Linked DNA regions of Drosophila melanogaster. The protein of the gene in region 2 purifies or fractionates together with the protein of the main gene of each other region. This does not show direct contact. Each region holds a gene or a part of one and is shown on either strand. Other genes may lie near its edges. The genes, in order: Jupiter, CG10638, Prosalpha6 and Slbp.

Region 1 (8,149 bases), on a different chromosome or scaffold from region 2:
CGGGGCTTGGGGTTTGGGGCCAAACTCCAATTTAAGCCCCATATGCGGGCCGTGTTGGGTCTTTTTTTTTTATCCCATTACGTTTGGACCTACGAAAGGCATTTAAAAGCGAAAAGCGAAAGTGTTTGCCATATCCATTGCATTCGTTCTACAGAGATGGTGGTTTCGGGGGGTTTTAACGGGCGCCATTGGAAATGGAGATTGATTAAAAGATTTACTCCGGCCGACGATGATGCATTTCCCTTGATAATTTCCCCGATTCAGCGATTTGCAGCTGGCCCCTGAGGCCGCTGCTAATGCCTTAATAATATGATAAACTGGCCCAGCCAAAAAAGAGATTAATTTTCAAGACATTTCCCAGCAGCAGTAGGAGCGTCGGGAAAGCAGGCAAGTGAGTTGTTAGCCCAAACTAAACGTGGCATGTGGCAAGGGGAATTTTGAATGTTAAACGCTGGATGGGGCATGGCTAAGTTTCCAGAGCACAAACCATCGAGCCAGGGAGCACGGAGCACGGATGTCTTAGCCTACTGGTAACCGCTCACCTTTCTGACCGAAAGTCGCTTTTTGATGGCTTTCAGCTCACCGTGTGTTTGACTTCCTCTACTGTTTTCCCCTTCTCAACTACTCCATTTACTTTTTTTTTTTTTTTTGTTTGGTGGTTTCGGTTGTTTGCAGTGCACGTTTTCCTAATTGCTCCACTTAATCTCCGCTTTTAAGACTTTTTGGTGGTCAGTCAATGGCCCGCAGAGAAAACTAAATACTATTCATATGTGAAAATGTACACAGGGGCAGTGCTCCTTTGTTTCAGTTTGCCATTTGGCTGGAGATACATAAGTGTAAGTGAAAGATGAAAGAAATCTGTTTGCATTGAGTGATTTCATGGGTCGTTGAGCGTCCAGCCAAACAAAACTAATCTAATCAGATAGGTTTGTTTATATATCTATAAATGCATTTATTGACTGTCTGCTCATTAAAGAAAGTTTACTATTCGCCCCTCGGGGTTTTTTAACAATAGCTTTCGCTCCTATAACACTAGCTACGAGTATATCCTGACCAAATCCATTCAAATGTGCCTTGAGCTGCTTCCTCACCTTCTCACGATCGTTAAAGGCTCTGAATTATTGCACCTGTAACTCCAGTAGCTGTGCCCACATCGCTAAAAAAAAAAAAAAAAAAACAAAAAAAATAAGGAGCGTGAGCTATAAAAGTGAGTGTAAAGTTTTAATTAACGAAAGTTGGCCATAAATATGGCTTGGAAAATGCATTTCCGAATGTCACAGATACATGCCACAAATTTCCATATGTCGGACACGTACGTACAAACGTATGGATTATCCATTATCCATCATGGTAATTATGCAGGGCTTCGGCAGCCGGAAATTTCACTTTGTGCAGTGAAATTATTTATTGGCTTAAATATTCGCAGTATGTGCCGAAGAAATGTCTGCTGCTTGGCTTGCAAGAGGTGAGGTGTCGTTGCGATGCGATGCGATGCGATGCCTGGTTTATAATCATTAGGGTTTGCCGCCACATCACTTCAATTGTCAGTTACCGCTGCCCACGTTCAGATACTCGTACTCGTACTTGTACTTGCAATCCATCCCTACTTTAATGCCTTATGATGTTTTAACTACCTCGAAGTCGACCACATGACAGGGCACCACGTCCACATGGAGTCGGAAAAACGGGACGTGGGTGGGGAGGTGGGGGTACTGGGATGGGGCAGACGACTTCGATTCGAGATTAGACACACACACGCAGACACTGTGGTTACCCGAACTAGTGGCTTTAGCACACCGTCTCTAAACTTAACCAAAAGCTTATAATATTTTATATTATATATATGTATATGTATTTATATGTACTTTGGCGAAAGCCTGTTTAAATGTGAAATGTGTGAATGCGAAATAGGTAAGAGACATATTTATGGAAAGCGGAAATTTATTACGATAAAACAGTCGAGCACGCTCATATGTATTTAGCCAGAGACCACTGTACACGAAATAAAGTGAGTGCCGACTGCGTCTAGTTCCACCATTGCACTTCTCCTGGGCAAACATCAGGCGACACTTAACTATTAAGCAAGAGCTGCAAGAGAAGTCGGTGAAGGAGACGGAGCTCTCCTATTTTTAACCGCATGTCCCCACAGTCCCCATTCCAAGTCATTCCCCCCGCCCGCTTTTATTATTCCATTCCTGGACAAGTTGGTGCTGTTAATTTTTTTTAAGGGGAAAGGAAGAGGATACATATTATATTTTAGAAATTATCTCAAGATTATTCTTATATCAAGATTACCATAATTGACGTTACTATAATTGAAATTACACCATAATTGACATATTTTTCAATATTTCTCGCAGTAACAATTTGAATAAACTGTGAGTTGATGGGAAACTAGCTGAACTGTCAACTCTGGGGCAAGTACATAACGCCTAGGCTTTTACTTGCGCACAGCGACCGGCAAAAGGGGGCAAGTGGCATGTTGGTGTCAGGTTGCCGCATGTGCACCACTCCGCCGAATGCCCGCACCACCTCTGGCAACCCGTGCACCGCTCAGTGGGTAGCTAGTCCCACGACCCACCGATGGTAAAATAGCAAAACGGCAAGAAGCAGCGGCTGCGGCGACGACACGGCCAGTCAACTTTTGGCTCGGCTAAACAAAAGTGTCTTCGCAAGCTAAAAATAACCACTGTTTTGGCCCAGCTGCTTCCAACACACCCCTACCCTCTCCTCATTTTCCCGCCGACTTTGTGGCTCCATGGCCCGATCCTCTTAGTCGCTAGCTTGCGCTTCCTGTTCTGTGTGCAAATCTGTGCCAAATGTTTTCCAAGAAAACGCAGTATGCAAATACATATTGCATTTAAATTCTTGCTGCAGCAGCAGCAAAGCAGCAGCAAGTGTGGCAAATACAGGAAAAGGGGCAAAAGGGGCGGCCTCATTAGTGGCAAGACACTTGAAATTAGAGTTTGCAACTACTGCTACTGCTGCTGCTGTTGGCCCCAACCGAACTGAACGCTTGGCGATGATGAAAGTGATTTATGTCCGGCAAAGCAATGTTCCTCAGCTCCTCGTAGACACGAGACCCGATGTCTGGCCTGGCAGCAGCTTCATCTTGGCCAGGAAACATGTTTGTGGGCTGCTACCGCCTTGCAGCTGTGCTGTCCACACCCTGTAATCAAAGATAAGAAGCGTGTTGGAAATGGGGGGGGCTAAGTTCATAATGTTTTAGTACAAACTGAAATAGATATGAGCCTTTCTTTCGGCATTCAACTGCGATTTGTTTGTAGAGCTTGGATTTAGATTATAATAAGGTTTGGGTTTATAAGCCTGGTAGTTGAATTTTAGTGAATTGTGTATTTTTTGCAATCATTCAATAAAGTATAAATTTGATTTTTGCTATGGGTACATTTGGGTTTAAAACTTTGAATGCACTTGATTTTTTTAAGAGAAACTAGTTTTAAAAAACGAAGAAGATCAAGCAGAAGAAGCTGAGAAAAGAAACAATTGCATAGGAACCCTGAAGTGCACTAGACCTGAACTATTACTATTTTTTCGCTTTTCTAGCGCTTTTTGCAATGGCACGGCATAACTGAAGCATATCTGCGCACACTTCTCGCCGGTGGGGCACATAAAATGAGATAAATAAATGCAGAATGTTAATCCCGCAAGTGTCTTAAACACGGCTTAAGTATATGTTTTATTTTCGCTTCAGTTCCTGGCGTATTTTAAACTTTTTTGTGACCTACAAGCGGAGTGAAGAACTCACCACGAGTTGGGTTCTGCCCCACAAGTGAGAGATAGAGAGAGGGAGAGAGCATGGAAGAGAGCGGGCTCCAACTCTAATCAGCATCAGCTGTAGTTTGTTTTTGTTTTGATGCGCCACATGGCGGGCACTCACTCTCTTGCGCTCCCGCTCTCTTCCCGTGCAGCTTTTGCGCTCTGAGTGAGTTGGGTTTCGGTCGTTGTTTTTGGATCGATAAAACTTCTCGCGCTGCCGTGGTATAAAATGCTTTTCACTTTTCCCACTGCACTTTAGTCGCCAGACATTTATCGAAACGTGCACATCACCAGCGGTCGCACACTCAAACATATTGCATATATATATATATATATATATATTGCTATCCCAACAAAATATCCTTCGAATCGAAAAAAACCCACGCGAGTGCAAATCAAAAGTTTTTTAGCTTTCTTTGTGAGTGAAGTGTTTTTTGGGAATTTTTTCGGTAGTTGGTTGGGAAAACGTTGCAAGATATCCTGGCTTATCCAACTAAAGGAATTTCGTCCGTTTTCTGTCCGCTCTTACTGCACCCCCCTCTCCGCATATCTCTTGTCCGTTCTCTCCCGGGATGCTCCTTGCATTCTCTCGCAGTTGAGTAGGGTTTATTGATTTTACGCACATGCAGCATCCCCATCTATGAGTCATCATCATTCGTCCTGCAACATTTTCCCCCACGTGCCTAATCTCCGTTTTCCCCCACATCCGCGTGCGCTTAGATTTTTCCAGTGCGAAAAGTAAAGCAATTGCATCCATTCAACAGAGAGATTATCCTTTCGCCAAACAAATAGAAACAGAAATGGCCGCCTACGCTGCTTTCAAACACGTTGAGCTTTACAATGTTGGCAAAGCAAAGAAGAGGTAAGAAATTCCTAAAGGATACAGTTAAAGTGACATTTTTAAAGACTTCAGAACAAAGAATTTGCATGTCAAAAAATGAATCGATAAATTCGTTGTCCGGATTTATTACACATTTTTACACGGAAAAGGGAGTTCATCAGTTTTTGTCAATGCATGTCCCCATGCAAGAAAAGTCGTTTAATACGAGTACAAAAAGTGGCCTTTGTTAATAATGCTTTTGTCAAAAACCATCTTCTGAGGTTTTAAAAGGGTATAAATCACCATGACGCACAAAGAGAATCATATGGCTGGTAATTTCAGTAAATAGATATATTATCAATATTTATTCAAAATGAGTCTCACTAATTATGACAAGCTGCAAAGAATTGAAGGAATATTGTTTTGACAATGACGAACAATGATTAGTAGGTTCTTTATTAACAAATAATGTTCTCATGTAAATCATTACAGCTAGGACAATCAATATATTCTGTATTTGTTTAAAAATCTGTGTATCATAATAACGTAACTTACACGATGTTACTCAATGTGTTTGACTTATATTGAGGTTATTCGCCGACCGACTCATTTTCCCTGAAGTTTAACAACTGTTACGTGCCTACTGCACATTCTGTTATTGTTTGCCATCGCTCGAGTGAACTTTGATTGGCAAACATTTCGGAAGGCAGCAGCCTCATCGTGATCTGCATCAACATCTCCATTTCCATCTTTATCCCATTGTCTGAGCTGTCGGGCCGCACAAACACCGCACACTTACATATTCATTTGGTTATGTGTGTAGATTAATTTAGCGTTCATTCACCTCGCCGCCGCCTGACTGACTGACTAACTAATACTACCCATACAGTCGCGTGTGCACGGGGCGTATGTGTAATCTGGGGAGCACCACTTTTGCAAGCGCCTACTTCCCACAAAACCGAAACCACCTAGCAAGTGAACCACCACCACCCAGCAAAGCCAAGCCAAGCCAAGCCGCCGGTGTTGGCATGTCTTTGGATGTCGTCTCATTGATTTTCCTTTGCCAACCCAACGGCCACCTGCCCCACGCCAACCCACCGCACAAAGCACCACCCGCGACACCACCACTGCAGTCGTCCACTCGATGCTACCGCACCAAAGTCAAAGGGACCGACCGGCGTTCTTTGGGAATATACCCTTTCTTGCTCCGAGGCGTATGACAATCTCTTTTCGTGCCATCAAAACAATGCGCAATTTTAATTACGAGGTGTTAACGAAATATACTATTTGACGTGACACTACTACTAATAATAATAATGTTTGCACATCTAAGCAAAAGTGATTTCTCGGCTTCATCTGTGTTTCATTTAATTTCAAGGAGTAACTGCCAAACCGCTCTGTCAGTCTTTGCATAAAAAAAAATGGTGGCTTTATTAAACTATTTTTAGTTTATTAAAACTTGTTTTATTAGTACATAGACTTTGAAAGTTCAAAGTGTAGAATGGCATTTTTACAGTTATGAAGCTTATGATTTTTTATGGCATACTAAAATCCATAATAGCCGCCTATGGTGTACTAAAAACATTGGTTATGCAGTTATTATGAAAATTCAATTTTAGCTTCAACTCACTTTTCGGCAATCAAACAGATTTGTTAAACATAAAAACTGATTAGATTCGCCCATTATCCAAATGATACGAAATATAATAAAATGTTTATTATTGAACAATCACGTCCTATTACCGCTAAAAATAAATCATTATATTATTACCGTTTATCGCCGCTTGTACGACGAGGGTATTTCCCCCATCGACTTCTCTCAACTATGGCCCGCCTTTCTTTTTCAGTTAGTTTCGGCATTTGTTTTTGCATGCAATTCTTTGACCAAGCCCCATGTGCCCAGCACCACCCATTTTTCGCCTTTCGAGTGGGGAAACAACAACAAAATCGTTATCGAAATGTTTTTCGCTTATGTCTATTCCGTATACCACTCTTACGCTCTCGTACCTGTTCCGAGTTTGAATTCGTGTCCAAGTCCGCTTCCCTGTCCGCTGTTCCGACCGTCTGTCCGTCCGTCCGTTCAACTGTCCGTTTGTCCGTTGTCCGTCGTCCGCTGGTCCGTGGCGGACATTGAACCCCGCCTCTCTTCGCGGCCGTTGGGATCGGAGATTAGTTTTGGTCGCGGCAGAAACCAAATAGAAACAATTTTCCTTATGTGTGCCATGTGCATTATAAACAATTTGCTGGATTTTATGGTCCATCGATGGGTGGCTGGCTGCTGGGGATAAAGTGTGGAAAATGTGTTAATCATTGTCATTGATTGCGATTGTGTAACATACCGCCTTGGACTTTCCCGCCGGCGGCTGGGGGGAAAATGATTAATATACTTTTCCTCTGCATTTCGATGCAGCGTTTTGTCTGCCGTGTGTGTGTGTGTGTGTTCTCCTTTCTTCGGCAAAGCCATGACTTATTATTGTAAACAATCAAATTAAATCTCAAAGGTGCGACGCGCCAAGATATCGGATTGAATTGTCGCTCTTTGTTGCGTTGTATAAGCGGCGGAAATCATGACAATTCATTTTGTTTATGGCATTGTCTATCCATCTGACGATCATTATACGCTTGAATTCCTTTGCACAATGCCCGCATATCTACTGTTTACAACCTGAAGTTAACCTCATTCTGCAAGGAAAGTCGGCAAACAAATCAAGAATTTCCATATATTTATAACCATATATAATATACCGCGATGGGAATGTTTTTTTTTTTTTTTTTTTGGCGTTGCCAAGTCAACATTTATGCAAATGATTGCAGAACATGCGGAAAACGAGCCAAAGTCGTTATAAGGAATAATCAACAGAAATCTACACCACAACCCCACCACATACCCAGTATCAGCATGACCTATTGACAGAACCGAAAAGGAAATCAAACACATTTTACCGTAATGCCTGCGTCAATGTAATTCCTGTTGACACGGAAATCGGGCAGGAAAAGTGAAGAAAAACTTTTCGGCCCTTGGTGAAAGTGTGTTCCCCTGGCAACCCCAAAATGTATATGGTATGTACATTATATGGACTCTTGATGGAACCCTAGTGTACCTTAGAGTGCCTGATACGATGAATGAGGCTGTTCAGTATTCAATTCGCATCGATCGGGCGAAAATTGAAGGAGAAGGAGAAAGAGGAGTATTTTGGTTATCCTCTCGTCGGGAGGAGCTGTGTGTGAATATATTAGAAAGTCCTTTCGCTTTTCACAAAGCCGCAAATTAATCAATACAAATTTATTAATTACATATTTAAAAGCGGCAGATCTGCAACTTTCGCTGCGATGAGTGTGTCAGCAATTCTGGTATGGTTTGACTTTGGCTTTGGTTTCGGTTTTGCTCTCTGGCTCTGAAATGCACAATTTACGAAGCCAATCCCAGCTTACGTACGCATATACATAATAATAAAAATGCCAGCATCACTATCGGCATCTACATACATGCGGCTTTTCCAAGCCAGCTTTTCCTTTCCTCTCGAGCACAGCACACTTTCCTCGGAAACGGCA
Region 2 (8,454 bases):
TAGCGCGCTTCGTGGCGGTCGGGTTTTCGATTCTCAATTGTGATTATATGTACTGTATAGTGGAAATTTAGTTTGATCGGTCGGAATACGCGTCTGTTGCTTTTTCAGATATTTTTTTTTTCACTTTTGTGTGAAAACAAAATGGAAGGAGAACGAGAAGAAACTGTGTTTGGGCACAGGGTTGTATTTCATTTATTTTTGGGGGGAGTCGATACGCTCTCTTGGCGTGGTCGAACGGTCACACTGGCCGAGAGATAACGGAAAATGTTTCAAAGGTAAGTAAAGATTATAAACGTATTAAGCTTAATACTATAATTAGCTTACTATTCCAAGTATGTATAATTATTACACGTTTAAAAGGCATAACGTTAAGTGTAACCAAATTATATCAATGGATTTTGAATACCAATATTATTTATTTTATATTTTGAGCTTAATATATTAAATCACATATATTTAAGCCTCTTTATATATGTAAATATTTTAATTTTATTAAAATAAATTATATATTGTTTTGTAATATGATCGAGGGCTGCCACCTTGTGATAAATGCTTACCAACACTTTTAGGTACGCCGTTTAGTGTACGTAAGTTGCGTACCTAGATATCCAGCGAAATCAAAACATTGAGTAAATCGTGGAAAATGGATGAAAATAGCTTAATCTACGGACTCGAACTGCAGGCGCGGGCTTTAACACCTCAGTACGGAGAGAGCAACGATGTGTGCTTCTTCATAGCCACCAACTCCTTGAAGCCCACCAATCAGGTTCACTTAATCCAGTACGAGGAGGAGCAGGGATCCGTGCAATCAAAGGTGAATATCTGGGATGATCAAAGTATGAGCTAAACATACAACTTTGAACAGGTCTTTGAGCACGCCCTGGGTGAAGTTTGGAAACTAAATAGTTGTCCGCGTAATCCTCGCCTGCTGGCCTCCGTCTACAATGTACAAAAGGGAGCACAAGTGCTGACCAAAGCGGCTCTGTTTACGCTGCCCGAGAATCTCAATCCCGATCCGGAGCAGCTGAAGTCAGAGTACCTGCCGTGGGAGCAGGTTGAGGTCCTGGATACCGAAGCACTGGGCGAACGTGTGAAGACCATCGAATTCCATCCCAACCAGGACACACTCGCCTGTGTGGTGGACAACAAGGTGGCTGTGATGCAGCGGGCCGAGTCCTCTACTCGCGTGGTGGCCGAGGTGCCGGCCAGTGGTTCATCCAGTGGATCTGCAAAGCACACACAGCATTTCACCAGCGGCAAGTGGTCGCATCATCATCAGGGCCACCAGTTTCTCACCCTCCAGGATGGCAATCTAAGTGCCTACGATGTGCGGGATACACAGCATTGTGCCTGGAGCATCAACGATGCGCATGGTCAAATGGTCCGTGACCTGGACTGCAATCCCAACAAGCAGTGCCATTTGGTCACCGGCGGTGACGATGGCTACTTGAGGATCTGGGACTGTCGCATGCCCAAGGCTCCCGTTTTCGAGCGCTCCGATCATTCGCATTGGGTCTGGTGCGTTCGCTTCAACACATTCCACGACCAACTGATCCTCTCCAGCTCCAGTGACTGCAAGGTGCTGCTCACGTGTGCGGGATCGGTTAGTTCGGAGACGCAGGTTCAGGCTGGACTAGATGAGTCCAACTTCAGTGGTGCCGATGCCGAGGAGAGGCACAAACTCTTGCCAGATGGTCTGCTGCAGACCTTCGATCAGCACGAGGACTCCGTTTACTGCGCGGAGTGGAGCAATGTGGATCCGTGGATCTTTGCTTCGCTCAGCTACGATGGTCGCGTCATAATCTCAAAGGTGCCCAAGCAGTACAAGTACCAGATTATATTTTAAGCCATTAGTTTCTTAAATTATTACGCATATTTCATTTAAATCTAACTAAACGAATTGTGTCCTTGTATGTAGTAGCAGGTTATACAAATATTAAACCAATAAGTTATTATATGAAGATAAATATATCGAGGGACTAAAGCTAATTAGGCTTAACCTGTATCCTCGGATGTGCAGTCGGAGGAATCATTGGGATTGGCAGTTTCCACGGAACAAACTCGCTTGATCAGCTCGTTTTCGATCTCCACAGTGCCATTGTCCACTGCCTCCTCCATCTGCACGTACTCTATGGTGGCGGCACTTTTCTTGGTGGATAGGACAGGTTTTGCGGCAGCAGGAGCAGGTGTTTCTGCAGTCTTTTTAGCCTGGGCTTCCGTATCATCCTCGGCTTCCTCAGCCAAACTGCTACGCTGCGGCTGAACTTCGGCGTAAATGGCGGGAAACTGCGACTGTAGCTTCTGCTTGATGATCCGTATCTTGCGGAATATGTAATCCAGATCCTTCTTCATTTCGCTCAGGCATTTCACGTGTCTTTTGAAATCCTCGCTGGCACTTTTCAAACGACTCTGCGATAAGGCATTGCAGTTGAGCAGCATCTCGTTGGTTTTCTCAAAGCGTTGCAGCCTGTGGGATATATTTTGGATGTTTATTATAATCTCTGGTTAAATGAAATGGCTTACATTTGCTTTTGAGCCCGTATCATGGTCTCCACATCGCCCTGATTCACCATTCCTGCGAGACTTTGAATGAAGGCCTCGGCGGCGGAGTTGCCGAAGCCAGTGAAGGATTCCAGGTCAGGAGTGGCATCCTCGGACTGGTGCACATCCGCAAGGCCCAAGTGGCTCATTGTAGCCTAGAATTTATTTGTTTATAATAAGGGAGAACACAAAAATTGATTTGTTTACTTGCTTTTCAAGGTCTCAAGGTTTCTTTGCGACAACTTGAACTCTGCTTTGTGTGCGTTTGCTGGCAGTTTTAGTTTTTTCTATTTTTATTTACGTTTTCAAATGGATCTCATGTTTCCATCTATTTTAAAAGTTCTTTTGTTTAGATTTCTTAAAAAAAAAGATATTTTCGTAACAGCTGTTTAAGTACTAGTTATAAACCAGTGCTGCAAGCTGCCAAAATGCAAAAGCACTGCCGTAATTAAATTTGAACATTTTACTTTTTAACATAAAATTAACACTGTTTTATGACAACATTTGTTCCTATTTAATATAAATCAAAGTTTCTTTAGCTATTTAAACACTTAAAAATATTTAAATAATAAAGCTTAGCAGAATGGCATTGGGTATTTTTACGCAAAGCCGTTTTGGTCACACTATGCTCACCGGCTTTTTTTTTATTAAGCGATTGAATTTCCTTATTTATTCTTGATTTAAACGTGCAAAATGAAGCTCGCTCCGACTGTTAAGCTAAACAATGGCTACGAGATGCCAATTCTGGGCCTAGGAACCTACAATGTAAGTCCTTATCATCGGCGATGCTAATAAATCAGCAGGCAGAAATTGTTTATGGAAATTTCTACCATTCAATTCCAATTAAGTGCAATTGTGAAATTGAAAGTTAATTATGTTATCTGTAGTTAAAGAAGTCTCGCTGTGAGGCTGCCGTGTGCCACGCCCTCGAAATGGGCTATCGGCATATAGACACCGCATATCTGTACAGGAATGAAGGCATTATAGGCAAGGTTTTAGCTAAACTTATTGGCGACCAGAAACTGAAACGCGAACAGGTGTTTCTGGTCACAAAGGTAGGATATAGTACAGATGGGTTATATATAGTTACCAGCACATGTAAATAGATCGAAAATCAATATCCAATTAGCTGTGGGACATATACCACGAACCCAAGATGGTGAAATACGCCTGTGATATGCAATTAAAGCTACTGGGCGTGGACTATATAGATCTATATCTGATGCATTCGCCGGTGGGCGTGGACTACATCTCTGATGAAGATCTGATGCCCCACGAGAATGGCCAGCTGAGGACCAAGTGAGTTTGGGATACAACTAAACATACATAGTTTAGATTCAAGAAGCTTAAAGAAACTGATCTTTGGAACTTATAGCGATGTGGACTATGTGGACACCTACAGAAGTATGGAGCAACTGGTGCATCTGGGGCTGGTGCGCAGCTTGGGATTGTCCAACTTTAATGCCAATCAGCTGAAGAGATTACTGGAAAACTGCCAAATCAAGCCGGCAAACCTACAAATAGAATGTCATCCGGAATTGGTGCAAGTCCCATTAATTGAGCTCTGTAAATTTCACAATATCACCGTGGTTGCCTATTCGCCACTGGGGCGTCCCAAAGCCTGCAATCCGCTGCCCGATTACTACACTGATTCCAAGCTACTGGCGTTGGCAGCGAAATACGGCAAGACACCAGCTCAAATCATCCTAAGATACTTGGTATAAACGACCTTAGAATTGTAAAGTGATAAAGATATTTATTGGCTAAAAATCTACAGATCGATATTGGCACGGTACCTATTCCAAAAGCTGCCCAGCGAGCCCATCTCGTAGAGAATCTGGATATATTTGATTTCCACCTAACGCCGGAGGAGTTGCTCCAAATGAAGACCTTTAATACAGGGCGCAGAATCTGGAAATTCGATAAAGCGAAGAATCATCAGTACTATCCGTACTAGCAAGAGATATTTAGTGTTCGGAAAAAAAGTGTAACTATGTAAATGTATAAGATAGAATCTCGTTAGATAGTTTAGTTTTTACGTTAGTTTTTTTTTAGTACAATATTACAATGTTATAAAATGTCATCATATCAATCGTTATCATATATAAATATACTATATTTTGTGCTAGATATGATCCTATTAACATTTTAAGTGCTCACCTGGGGAAATAATTATTTGTATCTCTCTAAATGTCTCTATCAAAGTTTATCGAATCTTTCGTGTGCCTTGCGACGTTGATCAGTTGTATAATTTCGGATATTGTTTCGATTTGTCAATTCGCGGCTCTCCGATATGCTCACAATTTCCTGGCCGAAACGAACGTGTTGCTGTGGTCGAAAATAACAATATACTGATCTCAAGAGTCGCATTATAAAACACATATTTGATTCTGTCAGAAAGGAGAAAGGTTAATGATGAATTTGATATTCTCTATTTGCAGTCGAAGGACAACGAAGGCGAAGCCGCTGTGAAACATGCGATTGATGTGGGCTATCGTCATATAGATACGGCCTATTTCTACCAAAACGAGGCCGAAGTGGGCAAGGCGATTCGGGACAAGATCGCAGAAGGTGTGGTCAAGCGAGAGGATATATTTTTGGTCACTAAGGTAAATGCCATGATGATATGTTCTAGATCTATCAATAAGATTATATTTTTGCGCAGCTTTGGAACATTTTCCACGATCCAGAGCGCGTTGAGGGCATTTGCCGCAAGCAGTTAAGCAATTTTGGCTTGGACTATATCGATCTGTATCTGATGCATATGCCAGTGGGCTACAAATATGTAGATGACAACACCCTGCTGCCCAAAAATGAGGACGATGTGCTCCAACTGAGCGATGTCGACTATCTGGATACGTACAAAGCCATGGAAAAGCTGGTAAAACTGGGCCTGGTGCGCAGCATCGGAGTATCCAACTTCAACAGCGAGCAGCTGGCACGAGTTTTGGCCAACTGCGAGATCAAACCCGTCACTAACCAGGTGGAGTGCTCGCCTGCGCTCAACCAGAAGGCTTTGACAGCCTTCTGCAAGAAGAACGACGTCACCTTGACGGGCTACACGCCTTTGGGAAAGCCCAAGCCGGATATTCAGAAGCCGGACTTTATCTATTCGCCGGAGGTGGCTGTTATTGCCAAAAAATATGGCAAGACTACACCGCAGATTGTGCTGCGTTACCTGGTAATTGAGGCATCAACCTGACCTCAGCGACAGCATCTAATTAAAATCTCTCTTTTCGCAGGTTGGTCTGGGTGTCATTCCCATTCCAAAGTCATCGAATACTAACCGAATTTCTGAGAACTTCGATATCTTCGATTTTGAGCTGACAGCCGAGGAAATGGCCGTTCTCGATGGTTATCACACTGGCGAACGGGTGGTGCCATTAAATTTGATTAAGGGCCTCAACCACAAGTACTACCCCTTTTCAATTGAGTTTTAAACCAGATGAGCGCCTTGTTGCTGTATCACGAATATAATGTAATAAATTTGTCATTACATCAATCTCTATGACAACAAATTGAATGCACGAATGTATCTGCATACTTATTCCAAACCCAAATCCAACACAAAGCTCTTAGTGCCTTGATGTTCTCCATGAAATCCGTCCAGTTGCCAACGATCCGATCCGCACCCCACCGTGGAACTTATTCCCAGAAATGAGGAGCAAATGGAAGCATCGATCTTTGGCACGGCACGTTTGACATCCAAGCTAAAAGGTGAAAATGTTTGAATAAGACCGAAATATTAAGTATTAAGCTTTTACGACCAATGGTAATGCGAAGTGCTCAAACTTGGAGATCACCAATGGAGATTCAAATTTAAGTTACATGTGGAAAAAACTGTATACCTGCATTATTTCAATCATTTCAATAGTTGTTCAGCTTAGACATTGATTAATGAACTAGTGATATTTTTAGAAGGTGCTTCAAGCTTTTCTACAGTAACTTTAGATATAGAAAATAGAAAAAAGTTTAGTAAGTAAATAAGACGTAAAAAAGCATATGGATTTAAGATGGATATGTGATTTAAAAAACGTTCTTTTAGAAGAACTTGTGCTGATTGCCAGCTGTTAGCCTAAATTGCTACATCAATTTTAAGGACGCATTTTTTGTTTGCCAACATTCTCTTATCAATGGATCTTCTATTCTGATGTATGGCCAAAAAATATCACGCGGAAGCTATTAGTTGCGCCAACCGCAGAAATGAAGCATGAAAGTATTATGGCTATTAGTTGATGTACCTATTACGCCCGACAGGCTAATTATCTTTGGATTGTTGGGTACATTTTGGGTTAATCGCGCCGCCGTAGACCTTTGTAAATAGCACCTCGGCCTGTGGGGTGACGTCAGAGCCAGCCAAGATGAGCACGGGCTGAATGAAATTGGGGTCGTCTAGCCTTTGAGCTGCCCCAAAATAGTGCATGGATGAGTGAATTAAATAGCGGACCGGACTTGGACTTACGTGCTGCTCCACGAGTCGATTAGAGGAGAATCTGTGGCATGCGCCACCTTGACCCAGGCCAAGAATAACATAACCCACCAAAACCACTTTCCATGCTGCAGATGGGTATCTCCTAGCTGGGATCGGATGCTCACTAAGTGCTCCACTGAGCCTCTTAGCCTCTCCACTCCAACCAAAATTCCACTCAAGCGTTTGAGTGAGTGAATTGCGGCCGAGAGCGTGAGGTTTAAATAAATTTTCAGTCAAAAAATTGGCAGTTTCGCTCCAAGCGTGCCCACGTTCACATCGTCGCCAGTTCAGTTGCGGAACTCATACACGGATATATATACACATATATTCCGGCGATCAATTAGAGCCCCGGAATTCAGCCACATCCCTCCCCTGCGACGCGTCCAAATATTGTTATATAAGTTTAACAACTTGTGAAATCCACGCAGTGCCAGTGCGTAAGACCAAAAGTGAGTTGAGCTGAGAATTACAACCCCCCCCCCCCCCCCCACATATACCATCTATTTGGTTGCAAAACCAAAAAGGATCGAATCGTGCATTATGTAAAGGCCCGAGAAAAGCGAGGTGGCGGGGAAAAACTTTCGCTTTCACCCAAGTACAGCTGGCTGCAGCTGCTGCGCATGCGCAGATACATTCGCAGATTGCTACTGTTTGCCGGGGATAAACCAGCCACACTATCGACTTGAATAAATCAGGTTCCCAAATAAGATACATTTGTACTTTTTGAGCCAGAAAAGATAGATTCTTAGAATGATACTATAGTTGGTAAATATATAAAATTATAGATATGATATATGAGCTATTTTTAAAGGATTTTTTCATAGGCTCTTTTCATAGTAAGCTATTAAAATGTTTTCTAAAATCTTTGCGCAATAATATTTCAATTTAAAATGTAAATAATAATAATATTTTTAGTTATATTTCGCTAGCTCCTTGAATTTCTCCCAGTGTAGCACTTGCACACCTTTGTTGATTGCTCTAAACTAGGTGCGTGGGTGTAGCCAAACTAAAATCGTATAGTTTTTTGTTTAGAGCCTTTTAATTGTGCTTTATTGACCCACTGCAAGTGCTTCGCTCTAGTCAATTATTTAAAGGCCAATAGTTAGCAGCTCTTCGAGAGTTTTGTAATTCTGTTTGCTGGCTTAATTGCCCAGCCAGACCACAAGAGGCCCGGGCGCACAAGGTCTTCTCGGCCGACAGCCGAAGTTGGCCAATACCGTAAAAGCCAAGTTGGTCGGTTATGTTGTTTGGTTGGAAAACGTACTCAATGCAATGCAATTTGTGCGGTTCGCATATAAATATTCATGGCAAGTGGCTATTGTGCAATTGCCAGGGACAAAGCCATCGACGTGACGGTTTCCTTTGACCAACAGCCACGACCTCGTCGGTAATTCTGGGTGCCATATGTCTAGTGAGTTGGATGGCCAGTTTTCCAGTTACAA
Region 3 (6,664 bases), on a different chromosome or scaffold from region 2:
GAGGCGGTCAATGTAGTTTGTTGTCATGAAGACAATTCTGGCCTCCGTGGAGCCCACACCGTCCAAGCAATTTAGGAGTCCACTGAACGTTATCCTGTTGAGACCGTCAAAGGCGGATTTCTGCTGCGGAGTAGCTTCGCGCGAGACGAATGCTGCGTCGATGTCCTCCAGCAGAATGATACTCTGCTCTGGCGCAACATTCAGGAGATGATTGAGTCGATCATCGGTGAGGCCTCTTTCGGATAGGTTTAGCAGGCAGACACTGTACTCCAGTTCGCCCGCCAGGGCGGTTATAAAGCTAGACTTGCCACAACCAGGTGGCCCGTACAGAAGGTAGCCTCTTCGGTAGGGGATTCCACGTTGCGTATACCACAGAGAGCTCTTAATGAAGTCCTGGCAGTCGGCAATGATTCGCTGCGAAGTTCCGCGATCCAGCACCACCGATCCAGTGGGACGCCTTCTGCGCGGATGTCCGAAGGGTCTCCATTCCGCACCCATCGCTGTGTACAGCACGGTTTTGCCCTCTGTGGCCTCCAGAGCCAGCTGCCTAGCCTCTTCGAGGATATCGAAATATATACCTTTATTGTTACCAAACGCTGTAAGCGTCACTGTCTCCCAAGGAACACCCATGTGAAGGTCCAATGTCTGTTGTTCCCTGGTCCGCTCCACCTGAATCCAATTGCCCTTGTACTGGAACAGATGCTTGCCTATGCTGGGTATGAAGTCATAGCTGGTTTTGATTGTGCCATTGTCGTTCTGCACAAAGTTTGTCTCCACGCTCAAGTGTTGCGTTTTTCGCGCTCCTCTGATCGTAATCCATTTTAACAGCCACTGATAGGATTTGTCCCGACACGGCACCTCCAGGGTAATCATGCAGTGCCGCCGGAACAGTATCACTCCGCCCTGGAGGCCCTTGCGCAATATGGCAGCAGCGGCGCCCACACCAAATAGTCCAAAACCGGCACCAAAGTAGGGATTTGACGAAAGTCCAGCTACAAGATCGGGCAAAGTCATCTTGTCTGCAAAAACCGAGAACAAGGATCAACGTTTAATTAAAGTGTTTTACTCTTTTTCGGCAATAAAACCCTATAAAACAACACCTGTTGCTTAATCTATCATCCAAAACATGGGTTCCTCCTGTAAACAATGGTACATCTTTTCGAAGCAACTTTTTAAACAAATAAAACTGAAGTCTAACATATACTGTTTACGTGCGCTTCAGCAAAGGCACCAACAATTTTATTTTCTCATGAGAAAACCATGTAATTTTATTATTTAAATCAACCATTTGCCATCACTCTCGTTATGTAATTAATTGTAATTTAGGTGTGAGCAAATAAATATACAAGTTGCCGCTGAAGTGGCACATTTTATTTGGCATAAAAACCATCTTAGAGGATAACTTGTCATTCACTAAAAGCAATCAACATTTTTTTATAGTAGAAATGTTTCAATACCGGCATTGATAAATATTTTTAATCCAACAGTGTGACCGAACTGTGAAATCGGAAAAATGCAAATAAGTTGGGAAAACTTATATCGAAAAACCAATATTTAATAAATACTATAAATAAATAATAAATGAAGGTTTAAAATTAAAATCAAAAAATTTTACCCATAACATTGATTTTTTGTATTCATTTATTCAGTTTGTTCCGTTTTAGGATCTATGCAAATGCATGAACAATTTTATTGTATCCTTGAATCTTACATTTTTAATGGTTAAGATGCTTTCATAGCCCTATAAATGCCTATGGACGCTGCTCGGTTGCAACCAGGACTTCTGGGTCGCGTGGTCCGGCTGCTGGTTCCTCTGGGGGGGATGGGCGATCATCGTCATCGTCGTTCCTGGGCGTATCATTGTCATTCTCTTTGGCAATCGCCACATGCTTGGCGCTGTCTTTATTAGAGAGAATTGTGAATGGCTGGTCTTTGCCGACGATGGCCACAGTGATGTCCTGCAAGAAAAACACAATTTACTAACTATTCGCGACGGGAAATGTGCAATGAACTTACATACTGACCGGCATCTTTGCCTTGCTCATCCGTAGGCAGGGTACCGAGTATAGCGCGAATTCCGTGACGGATGATTTCATCTTTGGAACTGTCCAAGAACTTGTTCAAATTCTTCTCCAGATAGGTGCGTGCACTCTGTGAACGCGATCCGATCGAATTGGCCTTGCAATTGAAAAAGGTCGCCGATGGCGTGACCTGATAGATGTGCGGACCCCTCTCATCGTAGCCGGCGACCAAAAGGCCCACTCCATACGGACGGCGATCGTAGCGCTGAGTGGTCGTCTGCATCTTGTTGCCCAGGTTAGTGATCAGACGCGAGACTGGATAGGTTGTATCGTACGAGTGCTTGTAGTTCAGGCACTCGGAGCGCAAGTACCGGCTAAGGACGCGGGCATCAGCCGTGAGGCCAGCAATGGAAATGCCCAGGTGATCGTCGATTGGGATGATCTTGCGCTGGGTATCCGATAGCTCCGATGTCGGCTTACACAGGGCGACAAGTACAGCGTAATCTTTATTTTTCAGGCCCACGGTTGCGGTGCCAAGTTTCACGGCCTCCATTGCGTACTCCACCTGGTGGAGACGTCCCTGCGGACTCCACACAGTAACATCGCTATCGTACTGGTTGCGAAACTGAAAGCAAAGATGTGAGTTTGTAACAAATGCAGTTAGCACACCATTATTCGCAATAAACACTTTACCATGACTTTTGAAATGCAAGCCGCTGAGCTCAATGATGACAAGTAGAAATGCCCGATAGTTAGTTATGGCACGCCGGGAGACACAAACAAACTGTGTATCGGGTATCGATAAGGGATTCGGGCATGCTATCATTTTTGGAACGATGCAATAGAACATTGTAGGATATGCATACAAATTTAAGGGGATAATGATATTAATTATAATCAGTAAACTTGTATGAGCACCTTGTTAATCGTAGTTAAATTAATTCCAGCACCACATTATACCTGACTACACACGTTTAATTGACCAACAATTACAGCATACCATGTGAGTAATACAATTTTAAACTATAACGGCTTATCGGGACTTAACTAACAATTAAGTTATATTTAGTTTAATTTATTAACTGCATACTTAAAAAATTAAATGAATTTCTTGTTCCATTCGCTTGTTCCCAACTTGCATTCGGAATCACTGCATATCGACTACAATCGATTGTTTTGCCATTAAGTCTGATAAGCTGTCAGTGGGAGTGTTTACGTTTTAATTGTATATTTCAGTTAGTTTTCACTCTCTCCTGTTTTGGGACCGAGGGTTTGTAGCTCCGTAATCGGATTGTTTGTCGAGGGTATATGCTCGCCTATATATATACCTCCACTCGAAAGTGTTAGCATCAAAATTGCATTGTTAAGATTAGTAGAAAGAAAGATTTTCGTGCGCACCTTAATCATAAAGCCGTGTAATTTAATTAACTGAAGGAATTAACTAAGGTGACTTCATTGCACACACACATACACACAAACCGCTACATACATATGTACACCTCATAATATCCCTATATACGTATGTGCACGAACAAAGAAAACATTTTTATTGGTTCGGCGCATTACTAATGTTTACAATTAACGATTTCTGTGAAAGTGATAGTATACTTATATTGCGTGCCCTTCAATGCGGCTACTGTTCGCTGTCCGTATTCCCATATCTTCGCTACAAGATTGCTTTATTCCGTGACATCCGCTTAGCTACATATCCAAATAGCGCAAAATAAATATATAAATAAAACATCGTGAATGGACCAGCACAGAATATTTCAATCCGCTGATCATATCCCATTCCCGATGCCATTTACCAAATGCGACTGACCACCAGCCAAATTTGCATGTGGCGAAGGGAAAAAAGGCAATCGAAGCGGTTGTGTCGATTTCCCAAGAAGTTGTACATAGTACGTAGCGAGCGAGCATAATGGAATTTCCCCCTCCATAAAATCAGACAACTAGTTGCATCATCACTTTCTCAGTAGTCGTTTAGTATTGTAGATACATATAACGAAAGCCAGTTAACGACAATGCGTTTTAGCGCGAAATTTAACGTATCAATGTCAAAGACCAAACCCGACTTATGTATGTAGCTCCATGCCCAGCTACCTTGTTAACCTAGCTAGTCGGTATCAAATGGTCTCAGTGTTCGTGGATTCACTCTATATTGACCATTGGGTCACAATTCTTGAACTGCTCTTAATGGATCACGAGTTTTTTGGATATTAAAACGCATTTTGTGTCAATTAGCACACAAATCATAGGTGTACGATTTCGAAAACTATTTCAATTCTTTTTGTCATGCATTTTTTATAGAATATTTTCAGTATACAAGATAGTAAAATCATTCATCTTTTTTTTTAAATACGAATGCAATTGTTTAGATTTATCTTAAATTTATTTTAATACATATTCTAGTTTGATTTTTATGACACAAAGTCATAAAGATTTATAAATATTAATTTATTAAAAGTTTAACCATCGTTTTGTCAAAATTCCGCTATTAATTTTAGCATTCTTAGAAATTTTGAATAATATTTTATTAATTCATATTCATGCCTAACAAAACATGTGGTATTTTTGAAAATTTTACTAACATTTTTCTTTGTAAATACAAAACATTTTGGCAAATAAAAGTTAAACAAATTCGAAACAAACGCAATCTTTTATTTTGGTATATTTGGTTTTCATATCGGTATATATTATTTTAATGAGTGGAGGGATTATCCGAAATTCTAAACCACCCAACCATATAATGTGCACTGTTTTGATTACATTATAATTTCGAGTATTTGATTACACCATTCAGCAATATATATTGACTGAAACTGAATGGATATTGAAGCGTGGCAATGAATCAGTTTTATTGTTATTCTTTCCTTAGGAGGCAGTTCTATTATTAGGAATACTGCTTATCGAATTGCAGCGCATCTGCAGAGTCTAAACAACAATTTAATCGCCAGATATCGCAATTGCGAGTTGCAAGTGTTCCAAAACTCACTTCGTTGTATATTTTGTATATATATATTTGGTTTGCTGGAATAAATGTTTATTTAATTCGTTGGAAAACGGTTTCATCTGGCTAAACGCAAATTTGCATGAAGTGTACTTTATTTGTGTAAGCGAAAACGTTGAATTTGCCAGGCTCGGATTACATTTGATTCAGTTCTTAGTCGAAAACCGAGACTCTTACTTCGAATATCATACATAATAGTAAGCCCAGGTGCATACTTTAACCAAAAACGTTCTTTACAGATATGCGATTGTGATAGAATGAGTCCAAGATCCCCGCTCAGGATATCTCCATTTGGAGTACACATCCTCATCGCTGCTGTGCTCTTTACGCTAATTCAATCATCGAAACAGGTAAACTAACATTTGGTTTTTATCATTAAATTTCAATATTTTATCAATATTAAGCATACTGGGTTTTTAATCGCGCAGATTAGTCGTCGTAAAATCATTTCTGAAAATGGACTGGTAAATTGTATTGGAAAAGCTGTTGTTTCACCTCAACAATGAATGAGCTAAAACAGATGCAAGGCAATTAGAAAAAATATATATTTTTATAGCTCTGGGTGGCGGTGAGATGACGTACTTAGTTTTGGAAGTAATATTTAAATTTGAAAAAGGTATTTGGGGTCAGCAAAAAGATAGCTAAAAACCAGACTTCAACTTAGCTTAGCTCACTCTACATATCTCTGCTCTATAATGTTATTAACTTATTTTGCAACTTTTTAAGGACTGCGTTTGGTATGGCGTGTGCAACACCAATGACTTTTCGCACAGCCAAAACTGTCCGTACAATGGAACAGCGAAGGAAATGGCAACTGACGGTCTGGAGCTGCTGAAGAAACGCTGTGGATTTCTGCTGGAGAATAGCGAAAACAAATTTTGCTGCGATAAGAATCAGGTTATGAGTAGCATTAGCTTTGCCCAGGCGTCATAATTATCAAACAAATGCCTTTGCAGGTGGAGCTCCTTAATAAGAATGTGGAGCTGGCCGGAAATATCTTGGATCGATGTCCATCCTGCATGGAGAACTTGGTGCGGCACATCTGCCAATTCACCTGTTCACCAAAGCAGGCTGAGTTCATGCATGTGGTGGCCACGCAGAAAAATAAGAAAGGTAATCATTATTAATAGCTTATTAATTATTGAATAATTATATATTCCGAATTTCAGGTGATGAGTACATAAGTTCTGTTGACTTGCATATATCAACGGAATACATCAACAAGACTTATAAATCGTGCTCTCAGGTACTTCTGGATTCCATATACATTATTCATTGATCGAAAATAATTATTGTTTGTGTTCAAATAGGTTTCTGTACCGCAAACGGGTCAATTAGCTTTTGATTTAATGTGCGGCGCTTACTCAGCATCTCGCTGCAATCCTACAAAATGGTTCAACTTTATGGGCGATGCCACCAATCCATATGTTCCTTTTCAAATTACCTATATTCAACATGAGCCCAAATCAAATAGCAATAACTTTACGCCCCTCAATGTAACGACCGTTCCTTGCAACCAAGCAGTTAGCGTATGTACCTACTATCCTTATTGGAAATTCATTTCATTTTGTGCTAAATATATAAATTGCTTGTAGAGCAAACTACCTGCGTGCTCCTGCTCGGACTGCGACCT
Region 4 (6,578 bases), on a different chromosome or scaffold from region 2:
GCCAGCTGCCTCCTTTTCCTTATCCTCTTCCTTTTTCTTTTCCTTCTCATCCTTCTTCTTGGGTTTCTCATCCGTTACCATCTTCTCATCGGCCTTGGCTTCTTCGTCCTTCTTGACAGCAGCACCCTCCTTGCTGTCCTCGTCCACATCCATCTTCTCATCCTCTTTTTTGTCGGCATTCTCGCGTCTCTTCTGGCGGGCGGCAATGGACAGAACTGCGGTGGCCACCTTCTCGCGCTCCTCGCTCTTCTTCTCCTCCAGTGGGGCGGGATATGCGTATAACGAGGGCTTGGCCGCCGACTTGTACTCCATCTTGGGCATTTTCAGATCGGAGTTCAGGCCGATCACACAGGTGGGTGTGAAGGCAAGGGAAAGGGTGTGGGCCAGGGGGAACCAGTACCAGTACTGGGTGAAAGCCAGCATGCCCACCACTGCCTGCAGGTTGGTGTGTCCTGTACGGGACTGCAGGGACAGAGTAGCGTTTCGGCCACCAGCATCAATAATACCTGGAAATAGTCAATGCCTAATTAGAAAGATCTGGAAAGGACGATTACTAATTATAAATCAATTCCTACAAAAATACCTATAGTCGTTCGCTTAGTTAAAAATGGAATATTTATAATTTTGAGTATCTACTAATCTTATCTCGAAGCTTGGCGGGAAAACTACGGAAACCAATGTTTAATAGATGCAAATTAACAAACTAATTAGCTTTTCAATATAATTGCATAAATAACGAAAAGGGATCGTGTTATATTGCTTACCCTGAGCCAAAATGGCACCGTACTTCGCCATCACATCTTCGTGCTTGTTGCTAATGACCTCGGCGTACAGCTGACGGAAGAAGGTGGACTTGGGACAGCTCTGGTCCGTGTGCTGAATCAGGATCATGGCAGAGGCGATCAAAGCTCCCTGGCGCACAAAGTTGACCGGATCGAACTTCACCATTGGCTCCAGCAGGGCAATGGCCTCACGCAAACCTGTGCCGGCACAGGCGATACCAAGAGCCATTGCGGCTCCGTAACGAACGTGCGGGTTGTAGGACTCTGCCAGAAGGCTGACCACAGAGGGACACTGCTCCGGAGAGCGGAACAGGATGAAGCCGATGGCTGTCACAGCAGCACGTCGCACATCATCATTTACGTCGGAGACGGCCACGTGTAGCAGCTTGCGGATGGCCTTGTTGCTACCAGTACCATTGTAGGCCATAGCTATGGTGTACATTCCCGAGCGGCGCAACACAGGATCCTTGTCGGAAGACAGGCTGGTCACCAGGGGGTCGGCCTCCTCCAAACGAGAGAACATTGTGAGGGAGATGCCCACGGCTAGGCCGCGTAGGATCTTCTCGTGCTGCGTCTCCTGCGCATACGACACCATGTCCTCGATGGCCTGGGCGTTCTTGGAGCCCAGCATGACCATACCCATGGCAATGCCCGCCGCCTCTCCGGTAACCGCGTCATCCTGATACAAATTAAACTTCAGCTGCTCATACAGATCCTGGCGATGGGTGCCCATGCCAGCGAGACCTAGTCCCAGGCAGCCGCCATGACGCACATTCTCGTTTTGGGCATCCTTCAGCTGTTGCAGCAGGTAGTCTATAATGTTAGCTCCGTGATTCGCATGGATCAAGCCCAAAGCATAAAGGGCACCACCCTCAGAGTAACCAGAACTTGGACCGGCCTCCTTTGGCAGATAGCTCTGCATGAGAGCCAGGGAATCCTTCTCGTGACCCCGATGAATTACTCCAAGCGAAGCGGTTGCCGTCAGCTTGGCCCAATTCGTGGCCCTGGCCAGCCAGTCGAGGTTGTCGCGCAGGAATTGGTCGGAGGTGGTGCCGCTGTGCATGAAGGCGTTGGCAATAACAGTGGCTGTGTGGCAGATAGACACGCGGACCGCTTCCTTTGTGCCTCGAAGGACCTGCAAATCGGCGTGGTTGCTGCGGATGAGGAATTGGAGCTGTAGGTCGATGGAAACCTCGCCGGAGAGGATCGATATGAGCTTTTCAATGTTCTTCTGATGCAACTTTTCAACCTCGTTAAGGGAATCGATTGTGCGCTCTACTTTATCATCAGCTAGGTGAATAAAATGCGATTTATAAGTATTTTAAGGGACTGGATTAGAAAACCGGGTTTACCTGGCGTCTCCTCTGTGATATCCTCGTCAGACTTGGACTTGTCTCCCTCCGACTTGGCACCATCCTCGGAGGTGGTACCCTGGGGCTTAAATGTGCTGGGGAGGGCGGTTGGGATAGGAGCGGTGTTTTTGAGGTGCTGCAGCACATTGCCCAGAAACTCTTGCGTGGCCGACTCGTACAAATCAAAGGCAATCTGATAGGCCATCAGATTGTTTGTCTCCACCGAGGACCGTGTGAGGTTGTCCAGCATCTCGGCTACGGCGAAGGGGTCCTCCAGGAAGATGAGGCACTGACACATATTCACGTAGTCCGGCACACCCAGATCACGGTACAGACTGACCAGACAGCGCAGCACCTCATTGCGGAAGCCACGGTTCTGGATGAGGGACATGGTCACGTTGTAGGCGTAGGCCAGCATGCCACGCACATCGTCCGACTTCATGATAGCGTCCTTGAAGGTGTCCATGCGACGGGTCTCCAGAGCGATGCCCAGAGCCTGGCGGAACTGGTTGTCGTCCAGACAGCGCTGAATCATCCTGTTCACAATGCCCTCCAGCCGCTCGTCCACGACACTCGCCTCCTTAGGGTTCTCGATGAACTCCACCCGCTGGGCAATGTAGAAGTCGATGCACTTGGCAATGATGGTCTCCGTGTACTCATTGCGGGCATTCACGTCGAACAGATCACCAGCGCCCAGGGCGTACGTCAGAGCGTCCTCGAAGGAGCCCAGGTGATAGAACACCTTGGAGGCCACCATGCCAGCTAGCTTGTTTTCGGGGAAGCTGCGATCCTCGTGCAGCATCTCGATCTTCTCGATGGACTCCGAGATCTCCGGCCAGAACTCATCCACGATGTTGTCCAGCTTTTTGAGGGCGAACACCTTAAGATCCGGCATTGGCTCATCGAGTAGGGAAATTATCCCCGCGGCGGACGTAAGACTCATTTTCCAGCTGCGTTGTTTCCAGTCAAAAATATGTTCTACGGATTTTAAAGTGACGTATGTTCAACTTGGGCTCGAAAACTTTACGTTTGCTATGAAAACAAATCGTTCTTTTGCGTACTAACCAACAATTGCACCGTTTTAATTTTCAGTTTTCTTTTGTGCCGAAAAAATGCTAAATCACTCGGTAAGCAGACAGTGTTGGTAATGGTTGGTTGCTCGATGTCTTGCTATCGATGTGTACCGATGCATCGATATTGTTTGAGCCTCCCTCAGACAATTTAAAAATCGCTGTTAATTTTCTGTATGTTTAAATATGTATTGGACATCAAATTTTAACAAAATTGAAATGAAATGTAATACATTTGGAGCATAGTTTGAAATTAGTTGTGAGTGACCAGGTTGTTCTGTGTTGTGGTACCTTTTTGCCGCCTTCTTACCACCTCCACTTCTGGGCACACTGAGCATCGCATCTACAACAAAAAACGCGCGAAGGTTTGCGCAGAAAACGCAAAACACCGCCGCGACAACATCCTGGAGCAGCGGACCGCATCATACACAGCACAGTAAACAAACGAAAGATAATTGCACAACATGCTCTGCGAGGATCAGCACATGTCCGTGGAGAACACACCGCAGAAAGGCTCCGGCAGCCTGAATTCCTCAGCATCCTCCATTTCGATCGATGTGAAGCCCACCATGCAGAGCTGGGCCCAGGAGGTCCGCGCGGAGTTTGGCCACAGTGACGAGGTAAGTGAAGGTTGGCTGCTACGATCGGGAACACAATTAATTCTCTTGTTTGCACGTGCAGGCCTCCAGTTCCTTGAATAGCAGCGCTGCCAGCTGCGGTTCCTTGGCCAAAAAGGAGACAGCCGACGGTAATCTGGAGTCCAAAGATGGCGAGGGCCGGGAGATGGCATTTGAGTTCCTGGATGGCGTCAACGAGGTAAAGTTCGAGCGCCTGGTCAAGGAGGAGAAGCTAAAAACGCCCTACAAGCGCCGACACTCGTTCACGCCGCCCAGCAACGAGAACAGTCGCTCCAACAGTCCAAACAGCAGCAACTCCTCGGCCAACGGAGATGCAGCTGCGCCCAAAGGCGGCAACAATCCCCATTCGAGGAACTCAAAAAAGTCTGGCAACTTCCGCGCCCACAAGGAGGAGAAACGGGTGCGCCACAACAGCTACACGTCCTCCACCTCATCGTCATCCTCCTACACCGAAGCCGATCCCGCCATCCTAAGTCGCAGGCAGAAGCAAATAGATTACGGAAAGAATACTGCCGCCTACGAGCGCTATGTGGAAATGGTGCCAAAGGACGAGCGGACTCGCGATCATCCGCGCACCCCGAACAAGTATGGAAAGTACAGCCGCCGCGCCTTCGATGGGCTCGTGAAGATCTGGCGCAAAAGCCTCCACATCTATGATCCACCTACACAAGCGCGCGACACGGCCAAGGACAGTAATTCCGACTCGGATTCTGACTAGGATCGAATCTTGTTACCGGGCCGGGCTATGTTTTTCAAATATCGGGGGTTTAACTACTAATTTTTATTTCAAGTACAAAGTTAAAACTATGAATCAAACACGCATCTTCGAGTCACAAGGCCGTGTACGGGGAATTGTTACGCAGATGTTTTGTTGAATAAAATGGCGTCTTACAAGATCCTGGGTTTTCTGTCGTTTGCTACCTGAGGAAGTCCTTGGTGATTCGAAATTTTCCGGACCGCCGGCATTTTTACTGCGCGTGCTGTCCTTGTAATAACGTCTGCTCTTAACTAATTTTGATTTAGGGTAGAGTTATTGTGAAAAGAAAAGACAGGACTCACTTCTTTATTTTATGTTAATTTCTTTTTCTGCATCTTATTCTTATGTTTCTTATACTTGGTTTTAGAATATCGAATCCCATTGATATTTTTTTAAATATACAAACTGGCGAGAAAATAGCTAAAGCAGCACCCCCGTTTGCCAGTTGTTTGTTTTCACTGTGCATGTGCCACTCCAAACCATTTCACGAACTCCTCAAGTGCACACCACCAAACACAGATGTTTCTCAAGCCGTACAGACCCAAGAGCAGTGCTGCCCTCAAGGGATCCGATAGCAAGAAGTTCCGGCAGCGCGTGGAGGCGGCGTTCCCCCATGTGTCCGTGGATCAGCTGGTGCCGGCGAAGGCGGCGGTGACCCAGGTGAAGATCCTAACGCACGGCGGTGTTCAGAGCATGGTCTACTGCGTGGACAAGTTGCCTTTGTTCTTCGAGCTGGACGGCGGTCAACTTGTGCCCACCCTGTACACCCTGTGGATCGTTCCGGACATCCTGCCCTATTTCACCACCCACGAGGGTGTGTTACCCAAGCTGACGAACGGAGCGGATCTCATGCTGCCCGGAGTGGTGCCCCTGGGCGTGGGACTGAGCATGTACGGGCACTTCAAAAAGGGACAGTTGAGTGGGTATCTGCTTGGGATTCCCCAGGTAACGAGTATTGATCTCATTGTCTTTTTCAGTGGCCGTAAACCTCACAAACAACAAATCTGCGGTGGGCGTGGGCCAGTTGGCTCGCTCCAGCGATGAACTGTACATGTGCGGAGGTCACGGTGTGGCCATCAAGATGCTCCACCTCTTTGGGGACAAGCTCTGGTCGCATGAGCCCAGTCTGGTGCAGCAAATCCCGCTGGTCAAGACAAAGGCCTTGTCTGGCGAGGATTTCCCTGCTCTTGGGTCTGAGACGGAAAGGAGAAAGACCGCCAGCCCAGCTACTCCCGCTCCTGTGACCTTCGCTACGGTGGCCCAAACCGAGGAACTGGAAACGGAAACTGCTGCTCTGACCTTGGAAAGCCAGGAAGCTCCCGAGTCCGACGAAGAAGCCGTGGAGGAAGCCTCACCAGAACTTATACTCAAGAATGCCTTCCTCTCCGCCTTGAAAAACCATGGAAAGAAGCTGCCCCTGCCTCTGCTGACGAGCAATTTCTACAGACTCTATGTGGTCACGGAGGCCACGGAGCAAATCGACCTGAAGAAGACGCGCTACAAAAAGCTCTCCAACTTTCTGGCCGAGATGGTGGACCAAGGATTCATTGTGGTGCGGGAGGAGAGCAAGGGAGTGGATAAAATCACATCTGTGGACCTGGAGCACCCCGAAGTGGTGAACTTTATAACCGATGTCAAGGCAAGCGAAGCTAATGGAGCGGCGTCCGAGACGCCCCTGTTCCACTCCGAGCTGAAGGAGATGTACATAGTGACCGATGTTACGGCGGCCTTCTTCACCAAGCTGAATTACAAGCGCGGCGAGGGAATCCCGGCGGGTCAGATCAAGAAGATTGTGCGGGAGTACGTGAGCAAACATGGTCTCCTCCATCCGCTGACCAAGCTGGTGCGCCCCGACGACACTCTGATCGAGCTGTATGGTAACAGAGAGGTTTCGCTAAGCGAGATGTGCTCCCTCATCACCAGCAAGATGGAGCACTCCTACCAGATGTGCAGCGGCAAAGATACGAGCGGGAAGCCCC

What was found.
Region 1: the proteins of CG10638 (region 2) and Jupiter purify together in Drosophila melanogaster (affinity purification with mass spectrometry, with the first as the bait; one large-scale study listed by BioGRID). This does not show direct contact.
Region 3: the proteins of CG10638 (region 2) and Prosalpha6 purify together in Drosophila melanogaster (affinity purification with mass spectrometry, with the first as the bait; one large-scale study listed by BioGRID). This does not show direct contact.
Region 4: the proteins of CG10638 (region 2) and Slbp purify together in Drosophila melanogaster (affinity purification with mass spectrometry, with the first as the bait; one large-scale study listed by BioGRID). This does not show direct contact.

The regions. Positions count from the first base shown.
Region 1 is NT_033777.3:11,600,632-11,608,780, reverse strand, and holds the start of Jupiter (jupiter), read left to right. Parts: upstream 1-4,026; 5' UTR 4,027-4,195; intron 4,196-4,497; 5' UTR 4,498-4,577; coding exon 4,578-4,639; intron 4,640-8,149. UniProt on the Drosophila melanogaster protein: Binds to all microtubule populations.
Region 2 is NT_037436.4:12,496,017-12,504,470, reverse strand, and holds CG10638 (uncharacterized protein), read left to right. Parts: upstream 1-3,159; 5' UTR 3,160-3,234; coding exon 3,235-3,306; intron 3,307-3,428; coding exon of another isoform or gene 3,429-3,596; intron 3,597-3,670; coding exon of another isoform or gene 3,671-3,840; intron 3,841-3,916; coding exon of another isoform or gene 3,917-4,259; exon of another isoform or gene 4,260-4,270; intron 4,271-4,318; coding exon of another isoform or gene 4,319-4,498; exon of another isoform or gene 4,499-4,670; intron 4,671-4,701; exon of another isoform or gene 4,702-4,869; intron 4,870-4,982; coding exon 4,983-5,150; intron 5,151-5,206; coding exon 5,207-5,722; intron 5,723-5,783; coding exon 5,784-5,981; 3' UTR 5,982-6,365; downstream 6,366-8,454. Other genes in the region: CG10646 (uncharacterized protein), read left to right, coding at 644-814, 866-1,846; CG10681 (uncharacterized protein), read right to left, coding at 1,996-2,467, 2,524-2,690; CG10657 (uncharacterized protein), read left to right, coding at 7,461-7,461.
Region 3 is NT_033779.5:10,217,496-10,224,159, reverse strand, and holds Prosalpha6 (proteasome alpha6 subunit), read right to left. Parts: upstream 2,810-6,664; 5' UTR 2,718-2,809; coding exon 2,715-2,717; intron 2,647-2,714; coding exon 2,017-2,646; intron 1,959-2,016; coding exon 1,752-1,958; 3' UTR 1,614-1,751; downstream 1-1,613. Other genes in the region: Bcs1 chaperone, read right to left, coding at 1-1,014; Npc1a (Niemann-Pick type C-1a), read left to right, coding at 5,289-5,381, 5,758-5,928, 5,988-6,144, 6,201-6,277, 6,342-6,560, 6,627-6,664. UniProt on the Drosophila melanogaster protein: The proteasome is a multicatalytic proteinase complex which is characterized by its ability to cleave peptides with Arg, Phe, Tyr, Leu, and Glu adjacent to the leaving group at neutral or slightly basic pH.
Region 4 is NT_033777.3:29,150,230-29,156,807, reverse strand, and holds Slbp (Stem-loop binding protein), read left to right. Parts: upstream 1-3,541; 5' UTR 3,542-3,668; coding exon 3,669-3,824; intron 3,825-3,885; coding exon 3,886-4,560; 3' UTR 4,561-4,734; downstream 4,735-6,578. Other genes in the region: Rpn2 (regulatory particle non-ATPase 2), read right to left, coding at 1-506, 765-2,072, 2,135-3,077; eIF2D (eukaryotic translation initiation factor 2D), read left to right, coding at 5,119-5,518, 5,577-6,578. UniProt on the Drosophila melanogaster protein: Involved in histone pre-mRNA 3' processing and couples histone mRNA production with the cell cycle. Both maternal and zygotic proteins play an essential and vital function for development.